2 linked regions of the Canis lupus familiaris genome follow. The protein of the gene in region 1 binds, or shares a complex with, the protein of each later gene. Links are inferred from orthologs where the notes say so. Each region holds a gene or a part of one and is shown in the gene's direction. Other genes may lie near its edges. The genes, in order: CNOT10 and CNOT6.

Region 1 (3,812 bases):
GAATAATTAAAATCTAGAGGTCCTGTTAAAATGGAAAAATTCAGAGTTGTTTCTATTTATTCATATAGATTCTTTCATTTTTGCTCTTTGTTTTCTTACTGTTGTGAGAACATATTCTTTGTTGATTGTTTCTTAGGTCCACTCGGCTGTTGAAGAAATGGATGGATTAGATGATGTAGAGAACAGCATGTTGTATTACAATCAGGCAGTCATTCTTTATCATCTGCGGCAGTACACAGAAGCGATAGCAGTTGGTGAAAAGCTTTACCAGTTCATAGAACCTTTTGGTATGTTCTGTCAAAATTTTTCCGTTGAAAATTTCCCTATTTTCAGGGGACCTGGGTGGCTCAGTCAGTTAAGTCTGACTGAGCCTGACTCTTGATCTCAGCCCAGGTCTTGATCTCAGAGTTGTGAGATCAAGCCTAAGTTGGGTGGGCATGGAACCTGCTTGGGATTCTATCTCTTCCTCTGCCCCTCTCCCACTATAAAAAAAGAATTCTGTATCTTCTCATACTTGCAATGGCCTCTGGTACTTTTACCTAATTAACCTAAATCAGGGAATTACTTGTTACTATTTATGAAAAAAGAAAAAAGCTATGTCAGATTTTCTTAATAGAAAAGATAAAAATGACATTACTTTTAGATGAACCTAGGTTTTCTTTCAGCATTTCCTCCTCACTCTATTTTTAAAAACAACTGTTAGAAATGATGTCTCTTGGGATGCCTGGGTGGCTCAGCAGTTGAGTGACTGCCTTTGGCTCAGGGCATGATCCCAGAGTCCCAGGATCGAGTCTCACATCGGGCTCTCTGCATGGAGCCTGCTTCTTCCTCTGCCTATGACTCTGCCTCTCTCTCTATCTCTTGTAAATAAATAAATAAAATCTTTAAAAAAATGATGTTTCTGATTGGAAAGATTTAGTGATTTTTGTTTGCTCTTTTTACACTACCTAGTGTACCCAATCTTGTTACTTGGGCAATATATTAAGAAGTATTCGGAGATATTAAGGGACAATTTTTTTTTTTTTTTTGTCCATTGCCTCACTGACATTTTTGTGGGTAATTATAGAATTATAGAATAGATAGTACAGACTATCTTAGCATTTTTTTATATCTTAATTAGCTTGCAGTTACTAGCCTTGAGTAAGTATAATAAGAAAGGTGAAGGCAAAGGAACAAAGAGGGAGCAAATAAAGTAGCAAAGCCTGACTCAGGAAATGGTTGTTAGGGCTGTTTGTTTTCAACTCACAATCAGTCAGATTTCAGTTGTGATTCACATTTTTGTCTTTTTCTTACATTACTTTCTTTTGCATTTAAAACACTAATGCCAGTTCCTGATTTATAAATACCTGATTGCTGATCAGTCCCCACAGGAGAAGAGGTAGAGTGTGATGGCACCTCTGTGGGGCTTTAGAAGAGTTACAGGATCGCCTTTGCTGTCAACTGGTTGAACAGCTGCTTACTATGGATCTAGGGAGGCATTTTTAAGATACTCCTCTTCTGTACTGTGGGTGTGGTGGCTGGGCAGATTGGGCAGGAGAAATACCAGTGGTGAAGATGGTATAAATTGTGACCTTTCTCTATGAAGCTAGAAATCAGAATTCTACTTCTAGGATGACACAGATGTGTTTTTCTATATAGCTGGGGGTTTTGTTGGTTTTTTTGTTTTTAAAGTAATCTCTACGCCTAAGAGGGGCTTGAATTTATGACCCTGAGATCAAAGTCACATACTCTACCAACTGAGCCAGCTGGGTCCCCCTACAAAGCTGGTCTTTAGGATTTCTGAAACAATTCATCAAATCCTATTAATCTATATTGTGGCTGAGTATAGAATATAGCAACCAACTAGGGATCCCTGGGTGGCGCAGCGGTTTAGCGCCTGCCTTTGGCCCAGGGCGCGATCCTGGAGACCCAGGATCGAATCCCACATCAGGCTCCCGGTGCATGGAGCCTGCTTCTCCCTCTGCCTGTGTCTCTGCCTCTCTCTCTCTCTGTGACTATCATAAAAAAAAAATAAAAAATTAAAAAAAAAAAAAGAATATAGCAACCAACTAGATAGAATTCAATTTTTTTATTTTTATTTTTTTTTTTTATGATAGTCACAGAGAGAGAGAGAGAGAGAGGCAGAGACATAGGCAGAGGGAGAAGCAGGCTCCATGCACCGGGAGCCCGACATGGGAGCTAAACCACTGAGCCACCCAGGGATCCCCTAGAATTCAAATCCATTTTTCTTAGGGGGCGCCTGAGTGGCTCAGTGAGTTAAGCCTTTGGCACAGGTCATGATCCCAGGGCCCTGGGATAGAGCACCGTACCAAACCAGGCTCCTGTTCAGTGGGGAGTCTGCCTCTCTCCATCTACCTCTTCCCCGGCTTATGCTCTCCCTCTCTCTCTGTCTCTCAAATAAATAAGTAAAATCTTAAAAAACATAAACAAAACTTAGTCTTTGCTCTTTAGAACTTTTTGGGGAGGAGTGGTCTGGTATGTTTGCTTCACTTTGGATTATAACTTTTCTTTTCCTGTTTCTTTCCCCCCAGAAGAAAAATTTGCCCAGGCGGTGTGTTTTTTGCTTGTAGACCTTTATATATTAACCTATCAAGCTGAGAAAGCTTTGCATCTTCTTGCTGTCCTAGAAAAAATGATATCACAGGGTAACAATAACAAAAATGGAAAAAATGAGGTAAGTGTTCTGAGGTGATCAGATTAAAGTTTATGGTTAATATTTGGGGTTATTAAATATTTTAACAGCTTTATTGAAATATAATTCACTATACAAAATGGTCAATATTGTTAATAATACCATAGGATTACATACTTGAAAGTGGCTAAGAGACATTGCGAAGGATAACTAGGAATCCAGCATATGATGTTGGTAGTGTTTATACCAGAGAAAGTTTTTAAGAAGGGACTGACATGGGGCGCCTGGGTGGCTCAGTTAAGTGTCTATCTTCAGCTCAGGTCATTATCCCAGGGTCCTGGGTTGAGCCTCGCCTGTGTCAGGCTCCCTGCTCAGTGGAGAATCTGCTTCTTCCTCTCCCTCTGACCCTAGCCCACTCTTTTCTCTCTCTCTCTCTCTCTCTCTCTCTCTCTCTCTCAAATACATAAATACAAATCTTTAAAAAAGAAAAACGTGGACTTCAAAAGGTTAAAAAAGACAAAAAAGGGAACATGATCCGTTCTGGGTTTCAGAAAGATAATCTTGAGTTTTGCCTGAGTACGATCCATGCTTTTTAAACCTGGCGTATCATTATATTCAATGGGAGCTTCTCAAAAGTAGTTTCCTCCAAACAAAACAAAACAAAGTAAGTTTCCTGTTACCCATTCCAGACTATTATACCTGAATCTCTGAGAGTGAGACCTGGGATTCTGTAGTTCGAAAATGCTTTCTAGATGATTCAGATTAGCTTCCTTGGAAATTACTGATTTAAATTATGGTAAAAAATATATATATTTAATGGTAAAAATATATATATATTTAATTTTGGTTAACTTTGTTTTACCACTACAGACTGGTAATAACACCAACAAAGACGGATTTAATCATAAAGCTGAAAGTGGAGCCCTAATAGAAGCTGCAAAATCAAAGATACATCAGGTAGCATACACTCTAAGAGAGATTTTATTATCATGTATATTTACTAATAGTTATGAATGATAAAGAATGTGATAAATCGTTGGAAGAAGTAAATAATTTGAGGCATGTATGTTTGTTTAGCTTTGAAGTATTGTAATTTAAAAGCACATTTATTCTTCTGACTATATTTGCCTAAAATGATAATGCAGTATCTTTCAATTTCTTGATAAGAGATTGAGAGAAA
Region 2 (3,912 bases), on another chromosome or scaffold:
AGACGGGGAACTTACTAGGGCCAGGGTGGGGCCGGATTCCTCTGTACAGTCTGGCTCCAGCACGGGGTCTCAGCCACCTGTCAGGAACGTGCCCCGAAGCAAGCACCATGCCCAGTGATCTCTGCTCGCCTTCCTCGCCACCTAAGGACAACAGCTTGATTTCTTTTTAAAAATATTTTATTTATTTATTCATGAGACAGAGACAGAGACAGAGAGAGAGAGGGGCAAGGGACAGGGGCAGCGGGAGAAGCAGGCTCCACGCAGGGAGCCCGACGTGGACTCGATCCCGGGGCTCCAGCATCACGGCCCGGGCTGCAGGCGGCGCTAACCCGCTGCGCCCCCCGGGCTGCCCGACAGCTCGGTTTCCGAAGGCAGACCTCGGGCTGGGGCTCTGGCTGGGACCCCTCCACCACAGCCTACTTACTGTACTGCGCGGCCCTGAATGGGCCGAAACGGGGCACGAGTTCATTTTTTCCTGCCCGTTCGAGGCAAGCAGCAGGCGGCTGCTCAGGACCGGAGGCCTCCTCGGGCAGGCCACGGCGGCGGCTGAAGTCAGGTCGCGGGCCGCCCCGCATTCCCACCAACGGACAGCGGAACGAGGGGAAGGAGGCGAGGAAACGGTGGGAAGACAGCACACAAAAGTGGACAGCCCGAGACCAGACCAGAAAGAGAGGACGGACGGCAAAACGGAGGGCAGTGGCGGGAGAGAGCAGGGACCCAGCGGGACAGAACACCGCGCGGGGCGGGAGCGGGCGGGAGCGGGCGGGAGCGGGCGGGAGCGGGGCCCCGGAGAGTGCCGGGCCGGCCCATCGCCGCGCAGCGCGGAGGGGCGCCGGGGGGCGGGGCTTGGGGAGCGACCCCCCCGCCGCACGGCGAATGGTCGCGCCCGGCAGCGGCGGCCAATGGGCGGCCGGGATGTTGGAGCGGCGGCGGCGGTCGGGGTGCTCGCTGGCTGGGGGACGGGGCCGCCGCCATGATGCTTGTTTGCTTTCAATGAAAACGAGGGGGGCGCGAAGGAGGCGGCGGCGGCGGCGGTGGAGGCGGCGTCGGCGGCGCGGAGGCGAGGGCGGCAGCGGGCGCAGCGCGGAGGGCGAGGCGGGAGGCCGAGAGGGCGGGAGGGCGTAGCGGTGGCCCGTCGGGGCGGCTGACGCGGTGGCGCTCGAAGGGGGAACAAAGAGCGGCGGCTGAGGCGGCGGCGGAGCGGCGGCGGCGCTGCAGCAGCGGGCGGGACTGGTATGGTGGTTCCACAGGTCAGACCCCGCTGCACTCACAGGGAGGAGGCGGCGGCAGCGGCGGAGGAAGGCGGCGCACCCCGAGAGGTGAGCACGGCGGGCCCGAGGCCCGGCCGGGCGCGCTCCCCGCACTGGCTGCGCGCGGGGCCCGCTCGGTCGCGGCGCGCGGGGCCACGGCGCGGGCGGTTTGAGTTGTGAGGCTGGCGAGCCCGCGGCTCGGCCGAAGCGGCGGCTGTCGGGGGCCTCCGAAGTGCGGCCGTGCTGATCCGGCCGGCTCCCAGGCCGCGCCCCCGCGCCCAGCCCGGGGGGCGGGGGGTGCTGATTGACGGCGGGGCGGGGCGGGGCGCGGGCGGGGCGCGGGCGGGGGCGGGGCGCGCCGGGGGCGGGGGCGGGGGCGGGGCGCGGGCGGCGAGCCGGGTGTCCGCGCCTCTCGGCCGGGATGGGTGGCAACTCTGGCGGAGTGGCCGTGTGGGATTGTGCGTCGTGGAGTGTGGAGCTTCGCGGTTACCGCAACGCGGTAAACCAGCGGTTGACCCCCTACCCCGAAAGTCTTTCGAATTCATCTGAACGCAGACTGGGGGGAAGTGGGCGGGAGTGACGGGGACCTGATTCAGAGGCCCTTACTTAGCCCCCGACGGAGAGATTCCTGGTATCGCTCAGAACTTACTGGAAGCAGTTTCCTCCCGTAACCCCAACCGCATGTCTCCCTTTTTATTTCTAAACACCAGTCGTTATTTTCTTTGGAAACTTTTTCTCTTTGACACTTTTCTCCCTCCCTTTCCCCCCAGAGAGCCTGCTAAGGAACACCTGTGATCTTTTCTTTAACTGTTCCCGCAGATGACAGCATTGTGCAGGTACCCTTGCTTGACCCATCTTGCGTGTACTGTGTTGAGCTGAGGTAATTTAAATAATCTGCTTGACTTTGAGTTCCCATACTTACTGTTTTCTAGGTGCGTTGTCTCATTAGTGCTAGTATGGAATTTCTTACATTCTTGTGTCTGGAAATTTCATTTTAGGGAGGAAGAGAGGGAGTATGAACTAGTGAAAAATAAAACGGCGGGTAATGGCACTGATTGTTTTTCACCGGACGCTAGGGTTTGCCATTCCAGAACAGTTCTGCAGGCTTTCCGGGCTGATGTGGTCATAGATCAAAAGGTTTTGAAGATTTTCTTTGTAATTGCTGTCAGAACAGTTGTCACAGTCTTCAGAATGTGATGTCTGTTAGAGTTAAAATTGCTTCATATTTTTTTGACCAGTGATCTAGTCTAGTCAACATGCTTTAAACAAAATATTTGAAAAGCTATGACTGTGGAAACAGACCTAGAAAGGTTCAAGTGACGTGGCCAACGTGCTTGCAGTGAAGAGGGAAAGCACATGAGTCTATGTGGTATTTGCTGGAGATTAGTTCTTTTGGGAGGGCAGAAGGTGTTTTAATGGGTAGAAATTATTTGTGGTAGTTGTGTCTCTTCAGTTTGCAGTTAAACAAGATACTAAAGTAGTCAAAACAAGAATGGAATAGAAGACAAGTTTTCTTGTGAGACTGAGAAGATTTGCTCTGAGAGTTGATACGTGCATAGTTTCAGAAGTGTCTCAGTGGTAATGTTGATGAAGAAGCCCTTTGTTTTTTTTTTTTTAATTTTTTTTTTTTATTTATTTATGATAGTCACATCAGAGAGAGAGAGAGAGGCAGAGACACAGGCAGAGGGAGAAGCAGGCAGGCTCCATGCACCGGGAGCCCGACGTGGGATTCGATCCCGGGTCTCCAGGATCGCGCCCTGGGCCAAAGGCAGGCGCTAAACCGCTGCACCCCCCAGGGATCCCTGAAGAAGCCCTTTGAATACATACTTGGTTTGTAGGTGTTTTCAGGTTTCTTAAATCTTGGTGGCAAATTGAACCTACAATTTTTGTGAAATTTCAGACTGTTTTTTTTTTTTTTTTTTTTTTAAATTTCAGACTGTTAAGTTGATTATAGAACTTGGTCCTTGCTGCAGATAAAGGCATTAAAGGAATTTGCCCACTGTACTTGTAGTGATAAATTCACATTTCGGTCAGTGCTTAGGCATTCCACTAGGTACATGTTAACCTTCTTACGTTGTTTGAAGCATAAGCGTTTTTCATATCCTAGTGCAATGAAAGGCATAATGTATGTAAGGCATACTGGAATAAATGGTCAGTGGTGCTCACAGCTGTAGACCTTGGGTCATAAGGGCAAGAGACCAATATTTGCACACTGGCAACTTCCCCATATGCAGAGTAGACTGGTTGGGAAGCCCTTCCTTTTTTTCTTTTTTTAAGATTTTATTTATTTATTCTTGAGAAACACATAGAGTCAGAGACATAGACAGAGGGAGAAGCAGACTCCCTGTGGACTCCATCCCAGGATCAACCACTGAGCTACTCATGAGCCCCTGAGAAGCTCTGCTTTTAAAGTGTTTATCGCTTTGGAAAGGTCCAAATAGGTTCAGCTAAGGACATGTATTTTAATGCAGAAAAGGCTTGGATTTGTAGGTATGCAGTGCTTGTATACGCTTTATTGTTGTGAATGGAACTTAACGTTATTGTCTAGAAAAATGTTCCAATTTCAGTGTTAATCCTTAGCTTCCATCTTGATGTACTTGTTTCCTTAAACTTGGCTGCTACTCACTTTACCAAGGTAGCCATTTTACAACAAAGTGTGATT

What was found.
Region 2: CNOT10 (region 1) and CNOT6 share a complex: the UniProt entries of both Homo sapiens proteins name them as parts of the CCR4-NOT complex. The link is inferred for Canis lupus familiaris from reciprocal best matches to the Homo sapiens genes CNOT10 and CNOT6.

Annotation. Positions count from the first base shown.
Region 1 is NC_049244.1:4,228,914-4,232,725, reverse strand, and holds part of CNOT10 (CCR4-NOT transcription complex subunit 10), read left to right. Parts: intron 1-136; coding exon 137-287; intron 288-2,531; coding exon 2,532-2,674; intron 2,675-3,502; coding exon 3,503-3,589; intron 3,590-3,812. UniProt on the Homo sapiens protein: Component of the CCR4-NOT complex which is one of the major cellular mRNA deadenylases and is linked to various cellular processes including bulk mRNA degradation, miRNA-mediated repression, translational repression during translational initiation and general transcription regulation.
Region 2 is NC_049232.1:1,536,556-1,540,467, reverse strand, and holds the start of CNOT6 (CCR4-NOT transcription complex subunit 6), read left to right. Parts: upstream 1-1,113; 5' UTR 1,114-1,319; exon of another isoform or gene 1,320-1,388; intron 1,389-2,020; exon of another isoform or gene 2,021-2,130; intron 2,131-2,956; exon of another isoform or gene 2,957-3,084; intron 3,085-3,912. UniProt on the Homo sapiens protein: Poly(A) nuclease with 3'-5' RNase activity.